Canis lupus familiaris: one gene and its partners. The protein of the gene in region 1 binds, or shares a complex with, the protein of each later gene. Links are inferred from orthologs where the notes say so. Each region holds a gene or a part of one and is shown in the gene's direction. Other genes may lie near its edges.

Region 1 (4,297 bases):
CGTCCGCCTTCCGCCTTTTGGCTAAGCTCAGGTCGCGGTCTCTGGGTCCGGGGTTTGGAGTCCCCGCAGGGCCTGCTCGGTGGGAAGCCGGCTTCCCCTGCCCCGCCTCCCCGCCCCACCCCTCCGCCGCTCCCCTACCCTACGACTTGGGGGCATGCACGTGCTCTCTTGAATAAATACAATAAAGCTGCAGCCATTCTTGAAAACAGTTCGTATTCCATAAAATGTTAAACACGGTTATCGCGTGACCCCGGCTTTCCACTCATATACTCTTAGGGAAGCGAAAACCTAAGTCCACACAAACACAAATCCAGATGTTCACAGCAGCATATGCACGACGGCCAGAAAGTGGAAACAGCCAAATGTCAGACGATGGATAAATGAAATGCACACACTGGGTGACGGGCCCTGAGGGGGCACCTGACGGGACGGGCACGGGGTGTTATTCTAGATGTCGACAAATTGAACACCAACAAAAAATAAATGTATAAAAAATAAAAATAAAAAAATGCACACATGCGTATGATGAAGTGGTAACCAGCACCGAGGACCGAATCCTGACGCCCGCGGACAGCGCGGCCTGGAGAAGGCAGTCCCGGGCGATGTCCCGGTCGGTCTCCGCTCGCACGAACTGCCCGGGGCAGGCGGGGGCAGGGAGGCGGGCGGGAGTCCGCGGTCGCCGGGGCTCAGGGACCGCGGGGAGTGGGGACGACCAGCCGACCGCGCTCGGGCCTCCCCCCAGCAGGACGGGAGCTGCCCCAACGGAGACCGCAGTGGCGCTTCTACGACCCCCCGGGGCTGCAGCGCGAGGACCCCACAGGACGTGGGGGATCCTCCGTCAGCTTCTTGACAAAAAGGACGCGCCCGGAGGCGGACGGGGCGACGGGCGACAAGGGCCGTGCGTGTTTCACACGGTGACCCACACCTTAGCTGGTCTTCTGCTGACGCGGCGACCGCACAGCGGGGCCTAGTCTGCCCTGACCGCCCCGGGGACGGCTGTGCGGTGAGCAGGACGGGCCTTCCCCAGCCCGTCACGTCACGGTCCTCGGCCTGTCCCGTGTGCCGGCCCCGTCCCCCGGCTCCCAGCGCTGCTCCCCGCCGGGACCCGAACCGCACCTCGCAGCTCCGCTCGGCCGGCTGCCCTCGTCACACCCCCAGGGCACGGGGGCGCCGCGGAGAAGCTGGGTCGCTCCGAGGGGCCTGACTGGGGCTGAGAATCAGGCGGCAAAGCCGGGCCCCCCGTGACCGCGGCGACACCTCAGGAGACCGACCCCGCGGGGTCCGGGGGCCACCGGCCGCACCGCCCGGGCGCACACGGGAGCCCCGGCTCGGTGTCCCTCCCTCCCGGCGCCGGGCGCGCGCGGCCCCTCGTCGGCGGCCACGCGCACGCGCACGCGCACGCGCACGCTCACGCTTACGTCGGGCGGCCACGCGCACGCGCACGCGCACGCTCACGCTTACGTCGGGCGGCCACGCGCACGCTCACGCTCACGCTCGCGTCGGCGGCCACGCGCACGCTCACGCTCGCGTCGGCGGCCACGCGCACGCACCGACCGGCTCGCGTCCCCGCCGGGAAGGGCTGCCGCGCGGGAGGCTGCGGTCGGCTGAGGTGCGGGCGGACGGAGCGGGGAGCGGGGGCGAGGGAGGCAGGGGCTGGCGTCTGCGGGGCGTCCTCGCGGCCCCGTTCTCCTTCCAGGGGTAGAGCTTGACAGGGGCCGGGGCCGGGGCCGGGGGCCGGGGGCAAGGTCTGCGGGGGTCCCAGGCCCTCCCCGCGGCGGGACCGAGGGGCACGGATGGGGGCGACCCCGGGGCCTCCGCACCGGGGACTGGGTCTGCAGGGCGTCCCCTCAGTGCCGTCCCTCTTCCAGGGGTCGGGGGGGTGAGGTCTGCTGTGGGACCCAGGGGCGCGGGCGGGTGCGACGTGCAGCCCTTGCCCGCAGTCGGCCGCAAGGAGCCGGTGCGCACAGTTCCCGCAGGTGTGCCCGCAGGTGTACCCGGAGCCGCCCCGAGATGTCGTACATGCTCCCACACCTGCACAACGGCTGGCAGGTGGATCAGGCCATCCTGTCGGAGGAGGACCGCGTGGTCGTCATCCGCTTTGGACACGACTGGGACCCCACGTGTATGAAGATGGACGAGGTGCTGTACAGCATCGCGGAGAAGGTAACACAGCCCCCCGCCCAGCGTCAGCCTAGGAAGCTGTGGTCTTTGGTTTGCCCCGTTTGCTAGGTGGCTGCAGGGTTGGAGTGAGGTGACCGCGTGCAGGTCCTCCTCTTCCTCCAGGCTGCAGAGGCGCAGCAGGGTCCAAGGGCCTGACCCCCGCGTGGAGGCTCCAGGCCTCAGAGGGTAGGGTGCGGCGGGCTCAGGGGGCCTGACCCTGTGCCCCGAGGCTACGGTCCTTCCGTGGGAGCAGTGTGTCCCTGGTCTCCAGGTTTTGAAGGGGTTCATGGTGCCACCTCCACGGAGCTGGGAGCAGCACACCTAGGGACTTCGTGGAACGCCATTTTAGCCAGGTAGCTGCACAGGATTGCCAGTTTTTGGTGCTTTGCTCCCTGTGTGTGGGAGGCAGTCGTGCCTGTCAGGGGAAGGAAAGCCTGTTCTCCATCCCGGTCTTTGTGCCCTAAGTGCACTCCTAGCTCAGACGTGCTCTGGGAGACTTGCCTGGTTGGACCCAGTCTGGGTCACCATGCTGGCACCCTGGCTTGTCGGAGGCTCTGTTGGCAGTTCCAGAACCAGCAGCACCTGGTGCTCTCCTGTGGGCTCTGTGGGCTCATTTCAGGAGAACTTTCATTTGGATGTGTAGTTGTAGCCAATTCATAGATTACTTACTGATATTCCGTAAATAAGGAGAGGTCAAGAGTAATGGAAACATTAAAGCCATGATTTCTTTCAGAGGAAGAAGGGCTTAAGATAGCTCAGTACATGGTAACAGGTGTAGGGACAGATGTGTCTGGGAAAGGCGAAGTCTCGGGGGTCAGAGCAGGACCCCACATTGAGGTTAGTTCACTAACAACTATCTGACCTTCCACTGCTACTTTTTCTGATCTCCTGTGTGGCGGGAGAAGCCAAGCGAGGCCGGGTGGTAGCACTGGGAACCGTGGAACTGTGGAGGCCGTCTTTCCGGTCAGTCACGTGAGGATCGCTTGGAAGACTTGCTCAGGTGCACCTCCGAGGTTCTCGTTCTGCAGGTCTGGGGTGAGGTCCACACACAGCTCTGCCCAAAAGCTGCCCTGGGAATTCTGAAGTGGCTTCCAAAAACCACTTGGCAGAGTTCGGGATCAGAGTAAGGGTGCTGGGAGACTGGCCGTTCCCTTTCTCTTCTTGGGGAGCCTGAGGAGGTGCCTGGGGAGCTCGGGAGAGCTGCGGCGCCAGTTTGTCGCGTCAAAAGCAGACACTGCTGTGGTCAGTGAAGAACCACCTCCAAGCACTTTCCTGAGAAACACCATTGCTGCTCTGTTGACCTTGAAATAACGTAGGGTGTGTGTTCTGAATTGTGCGGGGCATGTGGGGGCATAAACACCAGGTGGTGACCAGCTCCTGCTGCCCTCGGTGCAGGGTCAGGATGGTTAGAGACGGGAGGCTCCTTTGGCTCTTCATACCCAGGCAAAACCCAGCAAGACGCTCTTCTTTGGGAGACAGATTTTGTGTTAACCTGAGCTCTTAGGGACTTTCAGCAAGTTGTTTGTTCTTTTCCCATCCCTGTGTGTCAGCTGTAGGCTGGACTGCGGGATCACTGAGGAACGCACTCTGGGATCGAACCTACTGATAAGAACAGTTTAGTTGGGCTCACTTTGAGTATTTGTCTTTGTTTTATCTTTAAGGTACTTTTTCTTTGGTCCAAAAATTTGGATTTCTGTTTTAATAAACTTTTAATATTATATAGTACAGTTATTAGAAATGCAAACTTGAAACTCATCACAAGATAATTGTTTTATTTTCTTCTGTGTAAAGGCAAAACATGAGTTTATAATTCTGGAAGTCCTTCTTGAGCTCAACAGGAATTTTTGAAATTTAAAGTTTTAGTATAAAGAACAACTTAACTATCTAAAAATCTCCCTCTGCAGAAATGGCAGATAGTGGGGGATCTTCCTCATCCTGTCTCGAGCCCTGTTTGGATACCCCAGCTGTTTTAAAGTGAGTAAAAGTTCCACCGTTTAGGCTGGACTTGATTAGATTGTTTCTCCGGGAATGTGGTGTGTTGACTTGATGCTTTGATGGTGCCAACCATCATGAGGCCACCACCTCATGCTGTATTAGTTTTGAGCTGCCCTGAAAACATGGGAGGTAAGCTTAATGA
Region 2 (3,500 bases), on another chromosome or scaffold:
GTGAAATTGTTAAAATGATTCTCTACAGTGGTGACTCGCAGAATCATGTGGTCAGGCCTTCCCTAGCCAGAGGCTGTCAACGGAACACTGCACCTGTGGGATTCCCAGAGAGAGCAGGGGGGTGATGTGTTACTCCTGTGGTCTCCCTTAACCCTCACCATCTCCGAGGAGATGGGGCCGCTCCTTTTCATATCTGAGAAGAGCTTTAGGCTCAACCTGCTCAAATGCCTACATACCTCTGAAGTAGCAGAGCCCTCATTCCAATTCTAATGTGAATGACACGAGGCTGTGCAGTTTTGATGGCGAGGCCTGCTTTTACAGTGTGCTTTCCCCGTAGAGCCCATCTTGCTCGTTTGACTCATTTTTGTGGCAAAGTATGTGAATTTCCAGCAAGCTGGATTTCATGGTTCTGCAAGTATACCTAGATCCAGGGCCCTAAAGTAGGGGTCAGTAGCTCTCTAGTCCGTTGATGGAGGACAGTTTCCCTGACCTCCATAGCCTTTGTCTGATACTTGGATTTATTTTCATCATCACTAGAAATGTGGATCTGAGAGAATACTTGTCTGAAGAAGTACAAGCAGTGCACAAGAATACTACCTATGACCTCATTGCCAACATTGTACACGACGGCAAGCCCTCGGAGGGCTCCTACCGGATCCACGTGCTTCATCACGTGAGTGGCAAAAATGGTGGCTGTTCCTTTGGCATTTCAGTGGCCTGCTCTCTTTACCTCGCCCTGTCTTGGCCTTGGTGTTCTGCAACTAATAGAGCTGTCAGTGGTTAGTTCCAGGCAGTGGGTCTCAGTTGTGGCTGCATGTTGGACTCACCTGGGGAGATTTTAAAATCCTGATTGATGCCTGGGACATTCAAAGCCAGTTATATTAGAACAAATTGTTTTTTCACCTGGAATAGAGGCCAGGGCTGTTGCTAAATATGCTGTAGTGCACAGGAAGCCCCCATAACAAAGAATTATCTGGCTCGAAATGTCAGAGTTAAGAGACTGTATTAGATTATGTGGAGGTGGGAACCAGGCGTCATGGTGTTAAAATTATCCATGAGATCCCATTGTGCAGCCAAGGTTGAGCACCACTATCCTAGACTAGAGCCTTACCCTCTGAAGTGGAATCCTTGAACTGGTAGCACTGACACCATATGAGAACTTGCTAGAAATGCAGAATCTTAGGCCCCATGCAAACCTACGGAGTCAGAATCTGCATTTTGACAAGACTCTCTGGTATGTAATTATAGTCTATGAAGCACTGGTTTAAAGGTTTCTTTCAGCTAAAAAAACTGTTTTGAATTTGTCTCAAGCTAAAAATGGATGAAACATGTACTTAAGATATGTTTGGTATCACATGGATGATTAGCATAGATTGTTTTAGTTTGATTAGCCTTCTGGGAATAGGGGGAAAATAAGTAGCTCTGTTTATCAAAGATTTTACTGTGTGCTAGAAAGTATGAGTGTTTAATAATGTATTATTTGAGAGGGAGAGGAGTGCAGAGAGAATCTTAAGCAGGCTCTGTGCTAAGTGCAGAGCCCCTTAAGCAGGCTCTGTGCTAAGTGCAGAGCCCCATATGGGGCTGGATTGTGTTTGGATTGCATAGCCCTGAGAACATGAACTGAGTGGAAACCAAGAGTCGGATAATTAACTGACTGTGACACCCAGGGGCCCCTGACTTATATCTTTAACACAACCTCTAAGACAGGCATTAATACCTTTTTTTTTCCTTTTTTTAAAAATTGAGAGCAGGAGAGAAAACCACAAGTCAGGGGAGGGATGGAGGGAGAGGGAGAAAGAATCTCCAGCAGACTCCCTGCAGAGGGAGCCCGATGCAGGACCTAATCTCAGGACAAGATCATGACCTGAGCCAAATCAAGAGTTGGACATTGAACTGATTGAGCCACCCAGGGGCCCCAGTACCTTTTTTTTTTTTTTAAATCAACCAAGGAAACCTAGCTTCAGAGTTTGAGTAATTTACCTGAAGTTGGTAGATTTGGGATTTGAACCCTGATACTTATTTTTTTTTCCTTTAACATTTATTTATTTATTTTATAGAGAGAGAAAGAGGGAGAGTGCATGTGTGAGCAGGAGTAGGGCAGAGGGAGGAGAGAGAGAATCCTCAAGCAGGCTCCCTGATGAGTGTGGAGCCTAATATGGGGCTTGATCCCAGGACCCTGAGATCATGACCTGAGCCAAAATCAAGAGTTGGCCACTTCACTGATTGAGCCACCCAGGCGCCCTTGGTTTCACCAGGTTCTTAACCAGTCCTCAATACAGGAATAGGGGCTTGATTGTGTGATCCTGAGCATTTCTTATGTTTCCTATATTCTGAACTCTTGGACTATCTGGGATATCTGTAGTCTGTAGTATCTGTCTTTGGCATTTCTTTGAAGTTTGGATGGATGAGGCAGGTGAGCTTCCAGCAGTGCCTCTGCCATAATCCAGAAGCCTCTTTTTCTCCCTTATGTATGGCAGCATGAAGTAAGGTAGGTTTGCTGTATTTGCAGCACTGATTTTATGGACCAAAGGAAACAGGTTAGTATTTTGAACTGTGTCCATGAAGGACACTTTTCTTGGCTCTTGCTGTGTTCTCTGGGATGGGGTGTGGGGATGTCTACTTTTAGGCTTTCCCAGTAGTTAACACTGCACCTGCTCAGTGTGTGTAGTCTGTCTGTTTTTTTTTTTTTTTTTTTTTAAGATTTCATTTATCTATTCATGAGAGACACAGAGAGAGGTAGAGACATAGGCAGAGGGAGAAAGAAGCAGGCTCCTCACAGGGAGCCTGATGTGGGACTCAATCCCTGGACCCCAGGATCACGCCTGGAGCCGAAGGCAGATGCAGGCATCCCTAGTCTGTCATTTTTGAACAGCAAGGAGTTATCTTAGATGAGGAGTAGAGGGCTACCTCTTACCTAAATTCTTAAAAGTGTTGGGAGACTCCATTATACTTCAAGGAATCCTCGGCAGGGGTTGAGTTTGCCAAGATCAGCACTCCAAAAGCTCTTTAAATTGAATGATGCCAAGCAGAAGTCATGCACCCTCTTAATTATGATTCTTGCTGAGAGATGGTCTAGTGGCTATTCCGATTTTTCTCACTTTTTTTCTGCAGTCCTTTCCTTCTGTACCTTTTGGTTTTAGGGAGGAGACTAACCTATCCCTTAATACTTTTTGCAGGGGACGGGCAAATGGTATGAATTACAAGACTTGCAGGTGACTGACATCCTTCCCCAGATGATCACGCTCTCGGAGGCTTATATTCAGGTGCGTTGGCCACGAACTTGCTATGTGCTGAACAGATAGGGTGTGGGGCCAGTGAGAGGAATGATGTGAGTGAAGGCAAGACGTGATATTGAGTTAAAGCCTTGGTTAGGCTGGGTACCTGTTGGGATGCACTGAGGAGTGCATCTGGCAAGAGGAGGCCAGATTATATAGCCCTGTGAACCTAGGAGTGATTGTTAGAAAAGAGAAGGGCAGGGAAGCGTGGAAGATTTGTGGATG
Region 3 (4,248 bases), on another chromosome or scaffold:
GGAGATAACTGAAGGAGTGAAATTCTTTTTTTTTTTTTTTTTTTTAGATTTATTTATTTATTCATAGAGATGCAGAGGAAGAGAGAGAGGCAGAGACACAGGCAGAGGGAGAAGCAGGCTCCATGCAGGGAGCCCGACGTGGGACTCAATCCCGGGTCTCCAGGATCGCGCCCTGGGCTGCAGGCGGCGCTAAACCGCTGCGCCACCGGGGCTGCCCAGAAGGAGTGAAATTCTTGAGAAAAATGAAAGATGGGAGCCAGACTACAATGAAGAGGAACTTGCCTTGGAAAGGGGCAATGATACATCTACCTTTCTAACTGGAAGAAAGTTCTAAAAGGATGGCTTCCGGTCTTCTCGAAAGAGGAAATATTAGCAGAGAGTGATCTTAGGAAGACACTGTAAAAGGTTTCAGAGGGAGAGTACAGGGAAGGTATGAAATAGTTTGTGAGCTTATTAGAGACAAGAGCTCTCAACAATGTAGGTGCCATTCTGAGGTTTGTGACCAAATTTTTTTTAAGATGTTATTTATTTAGGGAATCCCTGGGTAGCTCAGCGGTTTAGCGCCTGCCTTCGGCCCAGGGTGTGATCCTGGAGACCCGGGATTGAGTCCCACGTCGGGCTCCCTGCATGGAGCCTGCTTCTCCCTCTGCCTGTGTCTCTGCCCCCCTCTCTCTCTCTGTTTCATAAATAAATAAAATCTTTAAAGAAAAAGATTTTAGGGATCCCTGGGTGGCGCAGCGGTTTGGCGCCTGCCTTTGGCCCAGGGCGCGATCCTGGAGACCCGGGATCGAATCCCACGTCGGGCTCCCGGTGCATGGAGCCTGCTTCTCCCTCTGCCTGTGTCTCTACCTCTGTCTCTATCTCTGTGTGACTATCATAAATAAATAAAAATTAAAAAAAAAAAGATTTCATTTATTTATTCATGAGAGATACACAGAGAGAGGCAGGGACACAGGCAGAGGGAGAAGCAGGCTCCATGCAGGGGAGCCTCATGCAAGACTCCATCCCAGGACCCTGGGATCACGACCTGAGCCAAAGGCAGACACTCAACCACTGAGCCACCCAGGTGCCCCTGTGACTAGAATTTAAAGTAAAAATAATAAGCTAAACTGTGTGATTTTCTTCAGGTACATTCCCGGTGTTGGAGCTGAATTCGCATAATTTTTTGGGCTTTGTCAGAACTACATTTCCTTCGCGAGTGTATTTACTGCCCCGTAACACAGGACTCTGAGCCCGCGGCCCGCGGCCCGGCCTACTAATTGGATCTGAGCTCCCCAAATCCCCGCCCTTACTGGAATTTTCCTCCTGGACCGGCTCTCAAAGCGCTCAGCAGGCGCAAGGCACACCTCCAGCCGCCAGGGGCCGCCGTGAGGTTGGGCGCGGCCGGAAGGGAGTGCGGCTCCGGGGGCCTCGGCGCTTCCGCCTCGCGTTCTCAGCGTTCCTCGCGCCCTTTACGTCCGAGCCCGAGGAGTAGGCGTTTCCGGCCATTCATACTCCTAGTTTTTCGGGCCTTGGTAGTCCGGTTCTGTACATTAACGGGCTGAAAGAGCGACGGCGCCGCCAGGATGAAGCTCGTGAGGTGAGGGGGTAGCCCGGCGGGGTGGGGGCTGTGACGATTTGGGCGGCGAGCGGGAGGCCGCGCTGCCCCTTTGCGGGAGGCGGGAAAGCCGCGTGCGCGCGCGGCCTGCTAACGGCCTCCGGCGCCCGCCGCTCCCGCCCCAGCTTGGCCGCGCCGTCGCGGGCGCTGCCGCCGGGGCTTCAGACTCGTTGGCGCGCGGCCCCCGCGTGTCTTCAGGCTAGTGGACGTGAAGGCCTGGCCATTTCTTCCCCCCTAGTGTCTTAGAGGCCTGCAAGGCGGCGGCGCCAGGCTTACAGGCTTCTGTTTGCGGTTGGTAGAAGACGTTCGTTCCCTTAGAACTCGTACTCTAGTCTAGATGATTTTTCTGGCCGGTCTCAGCCCTCAGGACCCGCAAAGACGACTAAATATACGCTCCCGGAGAACGTGGGAGACCTAAGGAAAATTGTACGCGTTGCATTAAGTTAACGAGCTTTTATTTATTTATTTTTTTTTTAAAGATTTATTTATTTATTCATTAGAGACACACACAGAGAGGCAGAGGGAGAGGCAGGCTCCATGCAGGGAGCCCGACGTGGGACTCGATCCTGGGTCCCGGGATCACGACCTGAGCCAAAGGCAGCTGCCCAGCCGCTGAGCCACCCAGACGTCCCGTTAAGCAGCTTTTAGAATGTACTTAGAAGCTGCAGGGGTTCATCAGGAAATGACGAAACCCATTTCCGAAATGTTTTAAATCAGGATTGGACTTCTGGTTTTTTGGTCTTTCCTTTTCCTTTTCCCTTTCCCTTTTCCCATTTCTTTTCTTTTCTTTTCTTTTCGACTCCTTACAGTTAAGATTACCCAACTCCCATTTCCCTTCAAAATAGGACTTTAGGGATCCCTGGGTGGCTCAGCGGTTTAGCGCCACTTTCGGCCCAGGGAATGATCCTGGAGACCCAGGATCGAGTCCTACGTCGGGCTCCCAGCATGGAGCCTGCTTCTCCCTCTGCCTGTGTCTATGCCTTTCTCTCTCCCTGTGTCTCTCATGAATGAATGAATGAATGAATAAATAAATAAATAAATAAATAAATAAATAAATAAAATCTTTAAAATAAAAAAAAAGAAAACAAAATAGGACTTTAATTCAGGAAGAATCTCCCAACGTCTGGCAGAGTCACTTTACGTATTTGTGGCTGATTAGCAGATGATCACTATTCTCTTGTGTTTAAACTTCATTGGTTAGTTGAGCCTATTGGTTTATGATTTGAGTAATTCATTCTAAACTATCTGCAGATAAGGTTTTGGTGTTTTTCCTTGAGGCAGGGAGCCTGGAACATAGAGGAGATTTCTGATTAAATTAGTTATAAATGTAGCTAGTCTTTTGTCTGAATCAAGATTAGTCTTATTGCGATCAATCAATTATTGGGCACCTATTACACTAGGCACAGGCAGTGGATTTTGTTTTTTTAAGGTGTTCTTTGAACTATTTTGCGAAGACAGACAAATAGACAATTTCTAGTGTGAATGAAATAACGTATAAAACCCTCAATATGTATTCGGAGTTCTTAAGGAAGGCATTTAAGGTTAATTTTTAGTCGAACTGTAACTTTGGAGAAAAACACCCCAGAATTTAAAGTATATTTTCACAATTTCTCAATCCCTACCTATTTGAATCTACTTATAGTTTTGTGTCACACTCTTTAGAATCCGTTTATCTCATTTAAAGAAACTGCATGTTGTGACACAATTTTCCTGAAAATTTTAAAGGCTGTACTGAACCCTATTCTTTGTTTAGACTGTAGAAATAAAATTTCTTCTTACTGGTGAATATGTTTTGTTCCAAGAAAATGAGTATTTGTCTAACTGCTTTGCATTTTTGGTTGACTTATTTCTGTACAGTGGTTGATGGCACTATCATCCTTACTGCCACTCTAACCAAAAACCTGGGAGTTTACTTTGACATCTTTCTTAATAATCTCATAAAATTGCCAGGTTTTCACAGTTTTTACCTACCTCATAGAAGTATCTCTCATTATCCAATTTTCTTTAAAAAAATTTTTTTTGTTTATTTATTCTTGAGAGACAGAGAGAGAGGCAGAGAAACAGGCTTCATGCAGAGAGCCTGATGCCAGACTCGATCCCTGTTCTCCAGGATCACGCCCCAGGCTGAAGGCAGGCACTAAACCGCGGAGCCACCCAGGGATCCCCAACATTATCCAGTTTTCTTTGGTTTTTGAATTCAGTTAGTGTGGATTTGGATCCTGAAGGATACTATGCAAGCGGTATGTTTTTGGGTGCTATGAAGGATATTATCTGGATATTTAAGTTTCAGTAAGAACGAATTCAAAGGGAAGGATTCATCGGAAAGAATTCAAATCTGTTTGATTTCTGAGCTGGGATAACTCTTTTCTGCCAAGATACCTTTGCTGTCATTCATTCCAGTGGCACCACTGAGTCATAAAAGCTTTCTTTTATTTCCACCCAAGGTTTTTAATTTTACTTCTTGAGGTGACTATCTCATGCAATGAAATACAATGTACATTTGCCAGTTTTGAAAAATTTACACATCTGTATAACCCAAACCCCTGTTGAGATGTGGAATATGGAACATTACCGAAACCTCAAGCCCTTCCTAGTCAGTCTCTGTTCTCATACCCCCAGTGCAATCAATTTCTTCTATCGTAGTTTAGTTT
Region 4 (3,531 bases), on another chromosome or scaffold:
TAAGTGGATGAATGAATGAGTCAGGGCACATAGAGAGGGTTCCAGAAGGTAGGTTCTGAAAGGCTAGAGGCAGGAGGGTGGAGGAGCTGGGCTGCGGCAGTGCCTGGTGTGTAGGTCCCCGGCCTTCTTTGGAGGGAGGTAACAAACCTCCCTTGGGCTGCAGGTAACAAACCCCATCCCACACTGGAGGATAGGCTGAGAATGAGGAAGCTATCTTTTGTGACTCCCTGACCTTTACTGTGTAAAAGGATACCAAGAGTCTGGAAAGAGTCCACTGGAAGGCAGCTCTCCCACCCGCATGTGAAGTCCAGGACTGAGAACTTTGCAGGGGTGATGCAGGTGCAGACTGTGGCCCAAATGGGAACGGGGCCTGAGGGGACAGATGTGCCCTAGCCATCAGCACACACCTTGCACAGATACCCCCCCTCCTCCCCACCAAAACCCACTGAGATCTGAGACTCACCCTTTTCTCGCCCAGGATGGGGACAAGTTTTGGCGGATGCCCGAGTGCTACATCCGTGGCAGCACCATCAAGTACCTGCGTATCCCTGATGAGATCATCGACATGGTCAAGGAGGAGGTGGTGGCCAAGGGCCGTGGCCGCGGTGGCCTGCAGCAGCAGAAGCAGCAGAAGGGCCGAGGCATGGGGGGTGCTGGGCGAGGTAGGCCTTTCTCTCCCCTCATCCATCCCCTCCCACCAGCAGGCTAGGCCAGAGTCTGCCCAGGCCTTGCCACCGAAGGGTGACTGCAGCACATGGCAGCCATCCTGTCCCAGTGTTGACATTCTTGGGTGGTGCTGTCATGGTGCCACAGGCCTGGCTCTGAGCCCCCTACATAGAGCTGGGGTTATGACTCATGGGGCTCCTCTGGTGTGGCTGATGCTGCTGTTTGCTGCCTGCCCTGGCCCCACAGCCCCCACCGAGGAAGCCTGGTATAGTTCTGGTGAACAGTGCTGATTCCCCCACCCACCTGGGCCCTTCCATCCAGCAGTGATCCCCAGTGCTCCTGAACTCTGGGTCCAGCCCAGCAGACCAATGTGGTGCCCACCTGGGGCTTGAGCCTTCATCTGATCCCTGCCTATGTCTCCTGGCAGGAGCTCTGGGCATGGTGTGGCACCTCCCTGGCTCATTTCCCCTCTGCAAAGAGAGTCTGGTAATTCCTGCCTCACCAGGCTGCTGGTGAGGATCCCGGCTTAGGGCCTGGCAGAAGCCCCTTGCCTGCTGTCACTCCTTTTCACAAGCCTGAGTTCATCCCTCTTTGATAGACTCCCCTCACTCAACTCCCCCACCACCACCACTGAGATGATAAATCTGGCATAAACTTCAGTTTGTTGTGCAGTCAGCTGGGGCCTGAGCCTAGAGGCCATCTGCAGACCCTCCCAACCCCCCAAACCCCCTCCTCTTCTTGGAGGGCCCTGGCTTTGTCTCTTCCATCTGTAGGGGCCTTCCATATGCCAGGCCCAGGCTCCCCAGTGGGGGCTCATAGGCAGGGCCAGGAAGGATACAAGACCCGGCCCTGAGATGAGGCTCCCGTGACAGTCAGGGGTGAGCCAGAGGGAGGAGGTCAGGAGGGCGCTCCAGGTGGGGAGGTTGCCAAGGCCTAGCAGGGCCTTTTCCATACCTGAGGGCCAGGCTCTTCGTGCCAGGGGCCACCACTGTTGAGTGAACTGCCTAGAGGAGCAGAGAGGAAGGGAGGGGTGATTGCTTGGGTCACTGAAGAGAGAGACCATGGGGCCCTCGGCAGCAGGTGGAAATCTCACCCTGTGTGGTAAAGCTGGCCTTGCCCCATGGGAGGTGAGGTTAGGGTGGGTCTCCATCCCTACAGGGCCCACTGCATGTTTGTGGTAGAAGGGGGACCATGTGTACCATTCTGTGTCCCCATCCGCCCTGGTCCTCCCTAAGTGGGGGTGTGTTCCATTCCTGACTACTCAGCCTCCTACACAGTTCCTACCTTGGACTCCACGTGAAAAATCTTAAAAGCAGAGCCCCATTACTGGCTAGCAGAGGTTAGAGGGCAGGGGGCTCCCCTGTCCCCACCCCTAGGCGGGACACACAGAATCTCCTAATTGTTTCTCTCCCTGGCTAGTGGATGTGGACAGTGCTGGAGAAAGGGGGAAGCTTGGGTCCTCAGCTGGGGGCCTGTGCCCTGCCCCCTGGGCTAAGTCCTACCCCTTTTCTGGCTCTTGTTCCCCTCCTCCTGGAAACCATCTGGCTTTGTCCTTCTGGTGTCTGCCCCCTATGCTGGCCCCAGGCTTTCTCCCAGGAAGCCTACCCCAAGCCCCAGTGTTGACTTAGAGCTGACTTAGCCACCCTGGCATCCTCTTGTTGCTTATCAACATTGAGAACTTTCTGGAACACCACCCCATGTTCTCAGCTGGGCTTCCAAACCCACTTTTGCTATAGCCCCCTCCTCTGTCTCACAGGTGTGTTTGGTGGCCGGGGCCGAGGTGGGATCCCAGGCACAGGCAGAGGTCAGCCGGAAAAGAAGCCAGGCAGACAGGCGGGCAAACAGTGAGCCGCCTCTCTGTCCCCCAGAGACTGAGCCACTACTAAGCATCTGCTGCCACTCCCTGAGGCTGTGTTTCTACTCTCCAGTTCACAAGTGTGTTCAGAACAAAGAGAAGAGGCAGGTGATCCTTTTTACATAAAGTCACCCACCCCCCCTTTTTTAAAGCCAGCAGTTCTACAGTTGGGTATGTTATTCAGTGTTTTTGGTTTTGTGAAGCTGCAGCCAACTTGATTCCTGGAAGATTCTGTGTTTAATGTGTCTTTAAAGCCCTCGCTCTTGTTTTAAGGGCGGCACTTTCCAAACAGGCTTGTTTTGCATTTTGAGTTGGATCCTCGTGTGGTGAACAGACCGGAGGTTTTTATTTTAAGCTGTTTGCACTGAGATTGACAGCCTTGGGAGTTTCCTGAAACATGGACCTCAGGATTGCCTTTTGAAAACAAATCTGTATGAACATATACCACAGAAGCTGTTCCTGGGACATTGCTGGGCCCCGCCCCCTTTGCCTCTGCCCTCCCTGTTTGTGTTACAAAAATAAAAACAAATACAACTACAAACTGCAATTCATAATTCCTTTTGAGCCACTAGGCACATCTAGAGTGTGGTATCCTCAGGAAATCACAGCCCTGTAAGAGAAGTTTCCTTTCGAGGGTTGCTTCCTGTCTCGCCAAGGGGAAGTATTTCAACAGGGCACTGGTTCCGTGTCCCTTGATGTCATTTTAACAAAGATGAGGCTGGGGTTCTAGGTGGCTCAATCGGTTAAGTGTGTGCTTCTGGCTCAGGTTATGATCTTGGGATTGGTAGGGAGCCTGCTCCCTCTGCCTTTCTTCCTCTGCTCGTGATCTCTCTCTCTCTCTAATAAATAAAATCTTAAAGAAAGAAAGATGAGGCTGTTATCTGGGCAGTGGGAATGGCCCTCCTGCACCATGTTTCCCTGTAATCCCTGCCCCTTTGTAAAGAATTGATGGGGGAGGGAGGCAGAGTGGGGAAGTCCCAGGCAAGAGCCAGTGTGATCACCCATGCAGG
Region 5 (4,216 bases), on another chromosome or scaffold:
GCAAACTGGGTCCGTCCCTCCACGGTGCTCCCGTTACCCTGCGTCCACTTCTCACTTTGCTCTCATTCAAAACGTCCCCGCCCTCAACTTGCCGAGAGAGTGCTGAGGAAGATGATGGAGCAGGGCCTGGCAAACAGCGGGGGACGGGGCCTCCCAGGGAGCCTCTCCGGAGGGGGGTGGGGGCAGGGAAGAACTAGGAAGGATGACCAGGGGCATTCCGGGGAAACGGGGAAGACCAGACGGAGGCGGAGCGCCTTCAGCAAACTAGGAACAGGAGGGGAAGCGTCCCAAGCCGCCCAACCACAGAGGCCTCCCACACGCGCTGGAAGCCGAGGGGCGGCTCTCATCTGGATGCAACCAGACCTGACACACTTTCAGAGACATCCCTCCTGCTGTGCCGCCCATGGACTGGGGGGTGTGTGAGACGCAAGTGGCCACCGGAGGCTACAGGAGAGAGATGGGGACCTGCGGCGGGCAGCTCAAGGTTAATGGGACACCACTCCCTGAGCTGCATCACCCAGGGAACCGGGGAGGGAGGACCTGCAAATACAAAGTGCGCTTAGGAGGATGTCCACCCCCCGGCTGGCAGCAGGCCCCCCGCTGGCCCGGAGACCTCTGACCCCAGCTGCCCGAGGAGGAGCACGCTGCAGCTGTCACCCCATGAGCATCACCGCCGAGTCCTCACTGACGTCTTCCTTTTGCAGATGAGCAACTGACGCCCGAAGCTGGGGCCTCCCTTGCCCAAGGTCACGCAACAGAACACGGGGCGGCGGTTGGACCCCACTCGGGACGCGGGCTCTCGGCCGCTCCCTGTGGGGAACCGGGGGCCACGCCGGACGGCTTACCGCAACCACGCGGGTGGGCGCTAACCTCGCGCGGAAGGGGAAACTGAGGCTGGGGGCCAGGCGGGGGGCGTCCCCGGCGGCGGCCGGGGGCCTCGGGACGGAGCAGGGCCTGGGGAGCCGGGGGGCCTCCCGGACTTCAGACCCAGGCGCAACTGGGCGACGCTGCGGCTGGGGAGGGCTCCGGGGGGGGCCGGCCCGCAAGGTCACGGCCCGGCTCCCGGCCCGCGGGCCACCGCGCGGGGGGCGAGCAGACCCGAGGCTGGCCCCCAGGCCAGGCCGGGCGGGGCTCCCGCGGGGCGCGGGGCCCGGGGCGGAGGGACCGGGCGCCGCAGCCGGCGGGGCCGGCGGGGCCGACGCAGCCTCACCTGGGTCGCGAGGAGCAGGAAGGCCGCCGCGAGCCGCGCCAGCGCCGCCGCCGCCGCCATGTCAGCCGGGTCGAGCCGCAGGCGTCGGCAGATGTTTCCCAGCAACGCCCCGGCGCGCCCCGCCGCGCCTGCGCCGTGTGCGCTCCGCGCCTGCGCACGGGGGCGGGGTCAAAGGGCGCGCGGCGGCGCCTGCGCAGAGCGGCGCGCGGCGGCAAGATGGCGGTGAGCGCGCGGCGGGGCCGGCTGGGCGGGCGGCGTGGGACCCGGCCGCGCTCTGCGCCTCACGCGCTCTGCTTCCCCCGCAGGACAAAGAGAAGAAGAAAAAAGAGAGCATCTTGGACTTGTCGAAGTACATCGACAAGACGATTCGGGTGAAGTTTCAGGGAGGCCGCGAAGGTGAGAGCCCCCCGCCGCCCGCCGCCCGCCCCGCCGCCCGCTCCCCGTCGACGGCTCCGGGAGGCGAGCAGGGTGGCGGATGCCCGGGCGCAGGCCGGAGCGCTTTGCTGGGAGGACTCGCGACGGCCTCCGTCCGACGCCGTGCACGCGGGGAAACTGAGGCACGGGAGGAGCTGCAGACACCCCGAAGCGGCCGAGGCGCAGGCGGGGTCCTCGCTCCGAGGCAGCCGCCCCCGCTGGTCCCCGCTGGTCACTGACCCCCGCCCCGGCTCCTTGGGCTCCGCACTCGTGACCCTGACGCCAGCCAGATTGTTCGGGGCTGTCGGGGCGCTGGGGGGAGGGGAGCAGCCAACCCCCGGATGCCGCCAGATGCCAGGACATGCCTTAGCTTGGGCACCCCAACCAGGCATCTCCCTTGCCGAGCCGCGGCCCGGTGTCAAGGATGGTCCAGAGGGGCCTGTTAAACACAGGTGGGCCCTCCTCTGGGCCGCCCGGTCCCTCCCGGGGAAGGGGCAGCCTTGCGGAGCTCTCAGCTGCCACCAGGCTGTGACGTGCACCCGCCTGCTGGGCTCTTACCAGGCTTAAAACACAAGGCTTCTCTGGGTGAATGAATTTCAAAGATCTCGGGAGCTTTCTCCCACTATTCACGAGCCAGGGAGCACCCCACCTAGGAGACGGCGCAGAGCCCCAGAGGGTTTCGTAGGCAGAGGGTGCAGGAGCAGACGCTGGATCGCTTCCGGCAGGGTCCCCCTCCTCTGGGGGATGCTGGGGGTTCTTTCAGGAAGACTAGCTCGGGAGGGCTGACCTGGAAGTTCCAGGCTGACTGGTGGAGATTGCATTCCTGGGAGAGCTGCAGGTGCGGCCAGGTTAGGTATGAGGCCGCGGTGGGGTGGCCGGGGCTTGGCACGAGTGACGCCGTTGGGAGTCTCTCTTTCTAACTCCAGGTTAACTCCACAGTCATTTTTCTGCTCTCAGCTCAGGATTCTTGTTCCAGGAAGCCTTCCCTGATCCTCCACCCTGGGCCCCACGCCTTTGGTGTCAGCTCCTGGTACCGTCTGTCACCGTTCCCCGCTTTACGCAGTAAACACGACACCGACCTCTGCATCTTTCCCCTGGAATAGTGAGGAGGGCAGGAGCTGGGCCCAGTGTTGCTGGTGCGTGTAGGCAGTGTGGCCTCTGGGGTCCTAGCACCAGGCAGCTGGAGTCAGAGCCACAGCTCTTTGGCGCACTGGCTGTGGGACTTCGGGCAGCTCACCCCGCCCCCCAGGGCTCCATTTCTTCACTCCCCCCACCTCACCGGGCGGTGGTGAGGATCACAGGGTTGGAGGCACCTTCGATGTGGTTTCTGACACAAGCAAGCACTTGAGCAACATTTCATTTCTTCAGCTGCCTCTTTGCTTTCGTTGTGTTTCATGAGACAGTGACCCAGATCCTTTCTCCCGGAGATGTGGACGATTGGGTAGCATCGGCGTGGTTAACAGCGCGGTGCCTGCAAGTCTAGGTAGCCAGCAGTGGTGAGAACTTGAACCCGAACAGATGTTTGCTCTGTCTGCGCCGTGCTGGCTCTGGGACCCGTGAAGGAGACACAGCTCTCGTTTCTCAGGGTGCTCATATGGGTTTTCTACGCTGTGTAGCAAGTTGCCACCACGTTAGCAGCTTACGCAACATGAATTTATTATCTTGTGGTGTTTGTCAGGAGGAGTCTGGGTGCCTTGGGCTCAGGGGCTCAGGTTGCACTAAAGGAGTGTCTCAGACGCCCTGTTGGTTGTGGGCAGGGTTTGGTCCCCTGCGAGGGTCCTACCCCTGTAGGACCAGGGTCCCCGAGCTCTGCTACAGGTGTCCTAGAGGCTGCCCGCCGGCCCTGGCCACAGCACTGTCCACAGCATGGCAGTTTGCTCCCTCAAGGCCAGTGGGAAGATCCCTCTCATGCTTTGAATTTTTTGACACAGTTCCTGTTCCCCTGAGCTCATCTGATTAGGTCAGGCCGGCCGAGCAGAATCTCTTTAGGTGAGCTGAGAGGGCACTGATTCTGGGACCGTAATCACACGTGCCCGTTCCTTCGTCTTTATCCTCCTGTAACCTAATGGCAGGAGTGGCATCCCGTCCTATTCACAGGTTCCCTCCCACACTTGAGGGGAGGGGTTCCACTGGGTGGTCACCGGGGTCAGCCCCATTTTAGAACTCTGCTCGTGCCCCACGGAGGAGGGCAGACCCGCAGGTGCGGCCACAGTGCCCGCTGCCCATAAGCTCGTCGGGGAAGTGTCCTCGGGACCTTTGTCTTGCGGGCGGAGGGGAGGTCAGTCGGGGAGAGAGGAAGGCACAGAGCCAGGCGATCTCGGTCACGGCTGGAGGCGTGAAGGCGCCCTGAGCCGGTGAAGCTGCTCACAGGAGCGCAGCAGGCCGGGTTGGGCCCCCACGCCGTGGTGCGCAGAGCTGTCGGTCCCGTCCAGCCCCGTACTCCCCGCAGACACTACAGCAGCGCGGTGGAGCGTGGTGGGGGCACCCCTGCTTCGCCAGCTGTGCCTGGGCCGGGAGGCCTGAAGGCCGGAGGGGCAGGGCTTTGGGGCGCGTCCCTCTGGCCGTGTAGGCGCCGCTCCTCTGCGCATGCGC
Region 6 (4,010 bases), on another chromosome or scaffold:
CTGTTTTGTACAGTTTTATACTCAGCAAAATGCCAAATAGTGTGTAGCTAATGCATATTTGTTCCATGAATGAATGATGTGTGTATTACAACTATCTGTTGTATGAATGAATGATGTTTTTTTCTGCTCTCTCCTGTTTAGACTCGTCAGCCTTACGTTCCTGGGATACAAATATGAAACAGACTTAAGGCAGAGAATTTGTTTGCTTTCTATTCTTTGCAAAACAGAAGTGCAAAAAGCCTGGGATCCCTGGGTGGCGCAGCGGTTTGGCGCCTGCCTTTGGCCCAGGGCGTGATCCTGGATACCCGGGATCGAATCCCACGTCGGGCTCCCGGTGCATGGAGCCTGCTTCTCCCTCTGCCTGTGTCTCTGCTTCTCTCTCTCTCTCTGTGACTGTCATAAATAAATAAAAATTTAAAAAAACAAAACAAAACAAAAAAAAAACAAAAAGCCTTAAGGTTTCCTGTGTGATGACATTAGCGGACAGTGACATCTGGTGGCTGCTTATAAGACAAGACAGTTAAGTGTTGAAAGTGGATACAGTCTGTGATAAATTGGACTCCTAGCTACAACAAGGTAAGAATGATAAGGTAGTAGGCATAAAAATAAAATGTGTTTTAAATTTCCACTGTAGAAGGTTTTTTTTCTTTTTAAATGCTGGTTGTGGGTTTTCAATTCACTGGACTTTAAAAAGAAGCACTAGATTCTTTTTTCTCTCTTCTTTAAATAGGCTCCGCACCCAACGTGGAGCCCAACCAGCGGATCCTGAGATCAAGACCTGAGCTGAGATCTAGTCTGAGGCTTAACCCACTGAGGCACATGGGCGCTCTAGGAGTAGATGCTTTGAAAAACGGCTTTTACAAAAACTGCAACACAGTGCATTAGTGGCAAAAAAAAAAAAAAAAAAAAAAATTTTTGGTTCGGTCTGAAAAAAGATCCTGGCTTGAGATGAGGTGCAACTTCATAGCAGAAAATAAGACGATTCAAAGATTTCCGTATTTTGCAAAACCTTCCGGGTTGCAGGAAGGATTTATTCACAAAGCAGGATCCCTTTAGCGTCTGTCTGTCGGAAACTGCCCGGGGAAAGCCGCTACGTGCCCAGACCGCACCACCTGCAGCGGACGGAACCTTCTCCCCGAGAGCTCAGCGCCCGGGAAAGAAGCGATTGGGAAGGAGCGACTCCTGCGGACTGATTGGATCGCAAGTTCGGCCTCCGATTGGTCGAGCCTGTCCGGGCCGCGGGCCGGCGGGGGGAGCGGAAGCGCGCTCTTTCAAACTTGCCGGGCTGACGGCGAGGCCGGCGGGCCACTTCCGGCGTAGCCATGGCGGCCAACGCTACCACTAACCCGTCGCAGCTGCTGCCTCTAGGTAATCGCGGAGAAGGGGACCGGAGGGCTCAGGCTAAGTGTTGGGGCCCGGGCGGCTGCGGCTGAAGTAGCCCTTGGTCGAGTGTTAGGGAAATGTGGGGATGAAGGGCCTCAGTGCTCCGCGGCTCGTCTGCCGGCTCCCGAGTGTCTGCGGCCCCGGGCCGCCCGGGAGCCTCTCTGCACTAGGCACGAGGGCTGGGCGCTCTTGGACAAATTCAGACGCCTCCCACTGCCTGCGGATAGCACACACACCAGGAGGAGATAGAGCGCTCCACCTGTAAGCATCACGCCGAGTGATAACGAAGCCAGCTAACGAGGCGTTCAAACTGCGGTCCGAACACAGAGATAGTGACAGGAAGAAATCTCTGGTGGATACGGTTGTGCCTCTTCCGATATTTTGTAGCCAAAGAGTTGATGGAGTTATCGGAAGTGGCCTTGTTTTGGAAGTTTTCATTCTTTGATTCCACCAACTCTTTTTGAACGCTTGCTATGTGCCAGACATTGCCCACTGAGGATAGAGTCCTGGGAAAACAACCACAGTTGTTTCATGGGGCTTAGACTCTTAAAAAAAAACATCAAACAAACATTTTTATTCATTCATGAGAGACACCCAGAGAGGTGGAGAAGCAGCCTCCATGCAGGGAGCCCGATGCAGGACTCGATCCTAGGACCCCAGGATCACGCCCTGGGCTGCAGGCAGGCGCTAAACCGCTGAACCACCTGGGCTGCAGGGGGTGGGGGGGGCTCAGATGTTAATTATATATTAATTATGCATTTCGTATGTTAATCAAAATCACTTAAAATAACATTAAACCACAACCGTGATGGATAAACTTCAACAAAGGAGAGGTAAGTGGTAAACAGGACGTTTTTGTTTATGCAACAGAGATAACGTACCGTAAAATCTCTAAAGTTTTTGAATGAATACTTTCTCTGGTTTATCTTTCACAGTAAGTAACTAACAAGTGCCAGTAGGCATTCCAATATTTGTTGAAGAAATGAACAGGTAAAATAATCTTTTTTTCTCCACCCCCCCACCCCTCTTTTTTTTTCTTTAAAAAAAAAAAATATATATATATATATATAGAGCTCGTGGACAAATGTATAGGATCAAGAATTCACATTGTGATGAAGAGTGATAAAGAAATTGTTGGCACACTTTTGGGATTTGATGACTTTGTCAGTATCCTTTCAAAAGGTGGTGGTGGTATGGGTTTTCCTGCAGTACTTAAGAACAGAAATAAGAATATGGACAGTCAGTACGTAACTGGTTATTGTATTAGAAATTTATTCACCTCTTGATAGCGTTTTAAGAGGTGTGTGTACTGAAAAAAGATAAAGTTCCTACCGATTACTAGTATTTTGCTCTGGAGCCATTGTATTAAACGTTGTAATTAAAATGGAGTAAAGATAGAAGCCAGAGTAAATTCAACCTGGTATATGTATTTTTCTTAACACCAAATTTCAGATATGGTACTGGAGGATGTCACTGAGTTGTGAGTAGTGTTAAAAATTAAAGAATTGGGGGGAATCTCTCCTTAAGTCAATTTTAGTATTAATGAGTTTAAAATGATTAATGAGAAAACATTGCCTGTCAGAAATACCTTAAAGATAGAAATTTTATCTACTGACACTGGTAAAATTGGATCAGTTATTACCGGATGTAATTATTATGTTATTATTAATGACTGGTAGGGACTTAGTGGAGACTGAGCTTTGAGATAAAAGATACTAAAAACAGCCAAGGATGTTTGTGCTCAGACAAATCAAGGCATTAAACTTAAGATATAAATGATAGCTCCATTATATTAGTTTTAAAGATCACAACCAGTGTCTGCTTTCAAAATTGAGTTGATTACAGATTGGTTTAATGGGTAAGGGATTAGTAGTAAATAATAGTAAAAAGGTGAGGCTAGTAAACATTCCATTTCATATTTGATCTCTTTGGCCAGTTTTAGCTTCTTTTAGTTTTGATCCTAGTGGATGTGGATCTGAGGCCAGTCAGTTCACTGTGTTGCCTTTGGTCATCCAGTGGATAACCTTTGTCTCTGAAAACTACTGACATAATTGCTCAACCTCATATTCATATAATATAAGAATAACTTTTTTAGGGATCAGAATGTTGGCTTTGATTATCATTGTTTATCTTGACTCTTTTATTTCTTCATTTAGTGAAATCACACCAGAAGGAAGAAGGATCACTAAATTAGATCAAATTTTGCTAAATGGAAATAATATAACAATGGTAAGGTACAGTAAAGCTGGGCGTTTTTTTAGATGTAGCCCATTTTTGTGAGGCAGAGATTACAGATTACTTGGCTTGGTTAAATAAATGTTCATGGCCCAGTGGGTTTAAGTTGGGAATGAGATGCTCCTGTGATCAGGGCTCTAAAGCTGAGCTACTGAACATGACAATAGGCTTAAAGATTAGTTTGCTTGGGCTTTTTAATCTTTTGGTTTGCCAAGAATCATTGTTTAGACTCTAAGTATTAATTGACGATGTTGGGATTATAAACAGAAGCAATGACCTGGAGAAAATGGGAATGTGGGGGAGGAGCAAAGAGGCCAGGTATCTTTGATGGGTGAAAAGGGGTTTTTAGATGATGGGTGTGGTGGTGGTATTAATAAGCTCTTTTTCCTTCT
Region 7 (4,234 bases), on another chromosome or scaffold:
TGGGAAAAAAATGCTAAAGAAAAACTTGTGAAACATGGAATGTTGCCTTGTGAATCACTGAAAGCCAATTATAAGCTGCTGAGGGGGATTCTGGGCACAACTACATTTTGATAATTGTAGTTTATCAATGGTGCCTGCTGCACTGGTCCAGCGGGGCCCTCAGAGATCCATGCCTCTTGGAAGAGGTAGCAACTATGCCTGCAGATGAACCATGCCCTTAAAACTTCTCATTGCCTCCTGCCTACCACACCCGTCTTAATGACTCCACCAGGGCTCTATAGCAATGAGAAAAAGGCTATGAATCAAAAAATTATTTTTTATGAATCACTGAAACAACCACTGAGGAATATAGTACAATTTGAGGTCTTTTGTGAGGAAGGCTTTTTAGGGACAGGGTTTTCTTTATATCTGATTATGTTTGTTCTTTGCAGCTAATTATTTTATTTAAATGATACTTAATTTTTTTCACATTATATCTTATACCGCAAGAGCTTCAAATAAAGCCTTTTCAAGAAATCTGTAATGCTTGGTTTTTACCCAAAGTGAGCTTTTATGGAAGGATATAAGGAAATCTCTTTTCACCACCAAATCACACCCAGTTGTTCTCTGGCCGTCATATCAATCAAAGATTCTTTCTTCAGCTAAGACAGGTTTACGAGAGGGGAAACTCATGTAGATCTTAGGGAAAAAACCCTGCATCTTAGATCTGTAACACTTAAGAGTTAAGAATCTGTCCAAAGATATTATTTCTTTGTTTAGAGTGTTGCAAATCACAAGCAGAATTAAAGTATAGGTTTTAAGTTGAGGGTATGTGTGTGAGGAGAAAAAGGAATCAAGTGTTGGTATAACACTTTACTTCTTTTTCTTCGCCCTTTCCACTAATAGCAAGAATATTGAGAATCCATGCAGAATTCCAAACCAAGTTCCCATAGCAGCACTTAAATAATGTCTGCATACCATTTCCAATTAGAACTAGATTGTAATGTAACGCAAGTCATACCATTATAATACGGAGCTACTTTAGGGATTTTAATTCTTTTTGTGGCAATTACGTTGCCATGGAAACAATCTCTTGCTAATAATGACTTCATCGCACGATCAAAATCCAAAGTGGATTTAAAGATTTGAGGATGCCTGCTTTATTTATTTGCATTAACTTTTTCAAGGACCTTTCCGAGCCTGTATAGTCATGACCCTAGTAGTCAATTCCAGTTTAGTAGGACTTCAAGCTATTTCTTGCATCTCTGCCTAAAGGAAATCCTGCCTAAAAGATCACTTCCAGGCTTTGTTTTGTTTTAAGTATTTTAAGGGGTGTTTGCTTTCTGCTAAGAGGTAGCAGCAGCGGCTCTTTCTCCTCTGACCGCCAAAGCCCCAACTTTGCCTTCGGGCCAAACGAGACTCCCGGCTCGGCGCGCGCCGCCGAAGCGCGGCCTTCTTGGGCCCCGCAGGCTGCCGTAGCCCGGAAGGGCGCTCCCCGGCGGCCGCAGAGGCGCGCCGCCCGCTCCGGCAGTTTCACTTTCGGTTTCGCCCGGGCTTCGGCGGAGGCCGCAGCTGCGCGCCACCTGGAGCGGGGGTTTGGGTCCCGGCCGCCAGGTGAGCCGGGCGGCCGCGCGGGCGGCGGGGGCCCCGGTGTTCGCTGGCCCGGGGTGGGTGCGGGGAGCGGCAGCCGGGAGGCGGGCCGCGCGGACCCCAGGGGCCCGGCCCAGAGCCCCCCGGAGGGGCGATGGACCCCGCGGGCGCCCGCCGCAGCCTCCCCGCGCCGCCGACTCGCCTTCCGGGACCGGGACCGGGGCTGCTGGCGGGGTCCTCGCCGGCGGGTGGGCGGGAGAGCGGGCCGCGGGGCCCCGTGGGCCGCGCCGGGTTCCGAGGGCTCCGGGGCCGCCGCGGCCACCTTACCGGGGCCTGGGGCCTCGGGCCGCGGGCGCCCGCAGGGTACGGCGTCGAGTCCTGGCGCCGGGGCTGCCGCGGATGAGCGCGCGCGGCCGGAGCAGGGGATGGGGCCTTAGGGTGCCCCCCCCCCCCCCCAATGCCGCAGAGACACAGGCTGTGGAGATCCTGGACTCAGAAGCGCTTAGCGAAGGAAGCCCTATTCACTGAACCCCTTCCATCTTTACTCTTGCACGTGCCACTTCCTGTTTGAGCTACGACTACCTGTGCCCTCCGTTAACAGTACAGAGAGTTGTCCGCTTTCATTGAAAAGTGCCTCTTAAATGTTATTTCTGGTTTTGCGCCTTTTGGTGGGCTACCTGTTCTGTCCTTGTGTAGGTCCCGTAAATTATTCAGCCATTTCCCGACTGTGAGGCATTTAGGGTGTTTGCGAATTTTTGTTTCATCCTAGCATCCCAGGTAGTACTTTGATAAACGTTATTTTTAAAACTGCATTTCGGATGATTCACTTGGATTGATTCTGAGCAAGGACATTTTTACAATAGGTGCTGTGCCCCAGTAAGGTCTCTTCAGATCTACATACCCCTTGCCAAATTGTTTTCCAGGAGAGTTTTAGCAGTTTGCATTTCATGTAAGGTTGTGCCTGTTTTCACCAAAAGTATGATAGCTCATAATATGTATTTCTAACACGTCACCCTCACTTTTTTTTTTTTTTTTTTTTTTTTTATGGTGGTGTTTCATAATGCCAATTGCTTGAATTTTGTGCAGGAGTCTAGAGAATTATCTTGGGTTTGTGTGTGTGTGTGTGTGTGTGTGTGTGTGTAAAAGTATTACTGGAGTTCCTGCATAGGCTGACAATGTTAGAGCAGGATGATCTCTTAAGTGGTCATCCAGCATAACTCCCTTATTTTGCAGATGAGGAACCTGGGGCCTTGAGAGGTGAAATGATGAGTTCTCCAAGGTATACAGCTACATTAAGTAGCAGAACTGGGATTAGAATTCAGGTTTCCCATCTCCCAAGTGAGTACTCCTTATGCTGCATTGGGTGGTCTCTCACTAAACTGTGGCATACTTGTATGAGCATTTTTAAAAATCTTGGCATCACTTGAATTATTTTGTCCTGTTAGAAATAACAGAGATTTTAGTCATCTGAGGGAAGTGTAACACTTGGGAAATTGACCATTTTCAGGACTGGGACTAAGAAATCCATTACTTAAAATGGCAACCCTTCAAGATTTTTTTTTTTAAAGATTTTATTTATTCATTCATGAGAGAGAGAGAGAGGCAGAGGGAGAAGCAGGCTCCATGCAGGGAGCCTGATGCGGGACTCGATCCCAGGACTCCAGGATCACGCCCTGGACCAAAGGCAGGCGCCAAACCGCTGAGCCACCCAAGGATTTCCCCCCCTTCAAGATTTCTTGACAGTTGTTTTTAGATTCCCTTTATGTCAGGATAAAGTATCTAAAAAGTTAGAATTTAAAAAAAAATTAAAAGTTAGAATTTGTACTCGATCATCTGATTAGAATTGAGCTGTTTGTTCTCATTTGTTATACCTTGAAAGTTTTTTAAAACTCCTTGTTGCTTGAATACTAGAGAACAATGGTTTTTTGATAAAGGGTTTATAACAGAGTTTTTCAACCTCAGTTGACATTTTGGGCCGGATAATCCTTTGCTGTGGAGCACTGTCCTGTGCTTTTTAGAATGTTAAGCAACATCCTTGGCCTCTATGTCCTAGCACCACCCTCCTCATTCAAGACAGTCCAGAATGTCTCCAGATGTCCGCATTTGCTTACAGGAATCATTTGGGAAGCTTTATAAAATGTCAGTTACGGTGTCCCCTTGCCTGGGGAGTCTGACTAGGAGTAGTAGACTTCAGGAATCTGCATTTTAACAAGCATCTCTGTTGACTCGGATGCAGCTGGTTCTTGTACAACACAGAAACATTTCTATTTTCTTTGTCTTTTATTTGGTGGTCAGTAGCAGAGATATGACTGTGGTATAGCCATTTAAGTGCACAGATGATGCAGTGCTAGTCACTATACCCATAGTTTGCGGGTAGGGGTGAAAGGGACAGGGATTTTCCTTGGCACTGTCCTCAAATGTCTCCCACAGGATTGATTGGCCGGTGAGCTTAGGTTCCTTTTCCCCTGTCTCTGAGAAGCTTAGAACCTACTGTGGGAGACTGATCAACAGGAAAACTGCAGAACAGCCTGCTAAATGGGAAGGGGTGCTCTCTGAGTGCTGGATTCATGGCTGGAGTGAGAGAGGGGAGGAAAGTGGCCCTCTCCTGGATGGGGAGGAGGAATTGGTATGAATCCTTCAGAAGAGGGCTAGGTACCCCCTCTGT

Evidence for each region.
Region 2: TXNL4A (region 1) and USP39 share a complex: the UniProt entries of both Homo sapiens proteins name them as parts of the U4/U6-U5 tri-snRNP complex. The link is inferred for Canis lupus familiaris from reciprocal best matches to the Homo sapiens genes TXNL4A and USP39.
Region 3: TXNL4A (region 1) and SNRPD1 share a complex: the UniProt entries of both Homo sapiens proteins name them as parts of the U4/U6-U5 tri-snRNP complex. The link is inferred for Canis lupus familiaris from reciprocal best matches to the Homo sapiens genes TXNL4A and SNRPD1.
Region 4: TXNL4A (region 1) and LSM4 share a complex: the UniProt entries of both Homo sapiens proteins name them as parts of the precatalytic spliceosome. The link is inferred for Canis lupus familiaris from reciprocal best matches to the Homo sapiens genes TXNL4A and LSM4.
Region 5: TXNL4A (region 1) and LSM7 share a complex: the UniProt entries of both Homo sapiens proteins name them as parts of the precatalytic spliceosome. The link is inferred for Canis lupus familiaris from reciprocal best matches to the Homo sapiens genes TXNL4A and LSM7.
Region 6: TXNL4A (region 1) and LSM5 share a complex: the UniProt entries of both Homo sapiens proteins name them as parts of the precatalytic spliceosome. The link is inferred for Canis lupus familiaris from reciprocal best matches to the Homo sapiens genes TXNL4A and LSM5.
Region 7: TXNL4A (region 1) and LSM6 share a complex: the UniProt entries of both Homo sapiens proteins name them as parts of the precatalytic spliceosome. The link is inferred for Canis lupus familiaris from reciprocal best matches to the Homo sapiens genes TXNL4A and LSM6.

Annotation. Positions count from the first base shown.
Region 1 is NC_049222.1:688,219-692,515, forward strand, and holds the start of TXNL4A (thioredoxin-like protein 4A), read left to right. Parts: upstream 1-1,497; 5' UTR 1,498-1,609; intron 1,610-1,967; exon of another isoform or gene 1,968-1,976; 5' UTR 1,977-2,010; coding exon 2,011-2,163; intron 2,164-4,064; exon of another isoform or gene 4,065-4,134; intron 4,135-4,297. UniProt on the Homo sapiens protein: Plays a role in pre-mRNA splicing as component of the U5 snRNP and U4/U6-U5 tri-snRNP complexes that are involved in spliceosome assembly, and as component of the precatalytic spliceosome (spliceosome B complex).
Region 2 is NC_049238.1:39,787,387-39,790,886, reverse strand, and holds part of USP39 (U4/U6.U5 tri-snRNP-associated protein 2), read left to right. Parts: intron 1-537; coding exon 538-673; intron 674-3,176; coding exon 3,177-3,263; intron 3,264-3,500.
Region 3 is NC_049228.1:66,473,027-66,477,274, reverse strand, and holds the start of SNRPD1 (small nuclear ribonucleoprotein Sm D1), read left to right. Parts: upstream 1-1,448; 5' UTR 1,449-1,565; coding exon 1,566-1,579; intron 1,580-4,248. UniProt on the Homo sapiens protein: Plays a role in pre-mRNA splicing as a core component of the spliceosomal U1, U2, U4 and U5 small nuclear ribonucleoproteins (snRNPs), the building blocks of the spliceosome.
Region 4 is NC_049241.1:45,126,311-45,129,841, forward strand, and holds the end of LSM4 (U6 snRNA-associated Sm-like protein LSm4), read left to right. Parts: intron 1-478; coding exon 479-662; intron 663-2,422; coding exon 2,423-2,514; 3' UTR 2,515-3,031; downstream 3,032-3,531. UniProt on the Homo sapiens protein: Plays a role in pre-mRNA splicing as component of the U4/U6-U5 tri-snRNP complex that is involved in spliceosome assembly, and as component of the precatalytic spliceosome (spliceosome B complex).
Region 5 is NC_049241.1:57,200,108-57,204,323, forward strand, and holds the start of LSM7 (U6 snRNA-associated Sm-like protein LSm7), read left to right. Parts: upstream 1-1,416; 5' UTR 1,417-1,426; coding exon 1,427-1,432; intron 1,433-1,515; coding exon 1,516-1,606; intron 1,607-4,216. Other genes in the region: SPPL2B (signal peptide peptidase-like 2B), read right to left, coding at 1,211-1,270. UniProt on the Homo sapiens protein: Plays a role in pre-mRNA splicing as component of the U4/U6-U5 tri-snRNP complex that is involved in spliceosome assembly, and as component of the precatalytic spliceosome (spliceosome B complex).
Region 6 is NC_049235.1:44,955,705-44,959,714, reverse strand, and holds the start of LSM5 (U6 snRNA-associated Sm-like protein LSm5), read left to right. Parts: upstream 1-1,210; 5' UTR 1,211-1,322; coding exon 1,323-1,368; intron 1,369-2,454; coding exon 2,455-2,550; intron 2,551-2,835; coding exon 2,836-2,863; intron 2,864-3,539; coding exon 3,540-3,612; intron 3,613-4,010. UniProt on the Homo sapiens protein: Plays a role in pre-mRNA splicing as component of the U4/U6-U5 tri-snRNP complex that is involved in spliceosome assembly, and as component of the precatalytic spliceosome (spliceosome B complex).
Region 7 is NC_049236.1:44,949,712-44,953,945, forward strand, and holds the start of LSM6 (U6 snRNA-associated Sm-like protein LSm6), read left to right. Parts: upstream 1-1,434; 5' UTR 1,435-1,593; intron 1,594-2,802; exon of another isoform or gene 2,803-2,907; intron 2,908-4,234. UniProt on the Homo sapiens protein: Plays a role in pre-mRNA splicing as component of the U4/U6-U5 tri-snRNP complex that is involved in spliceosome assembly, and as component of the precatalytic spliceosome (spliceosome B complex).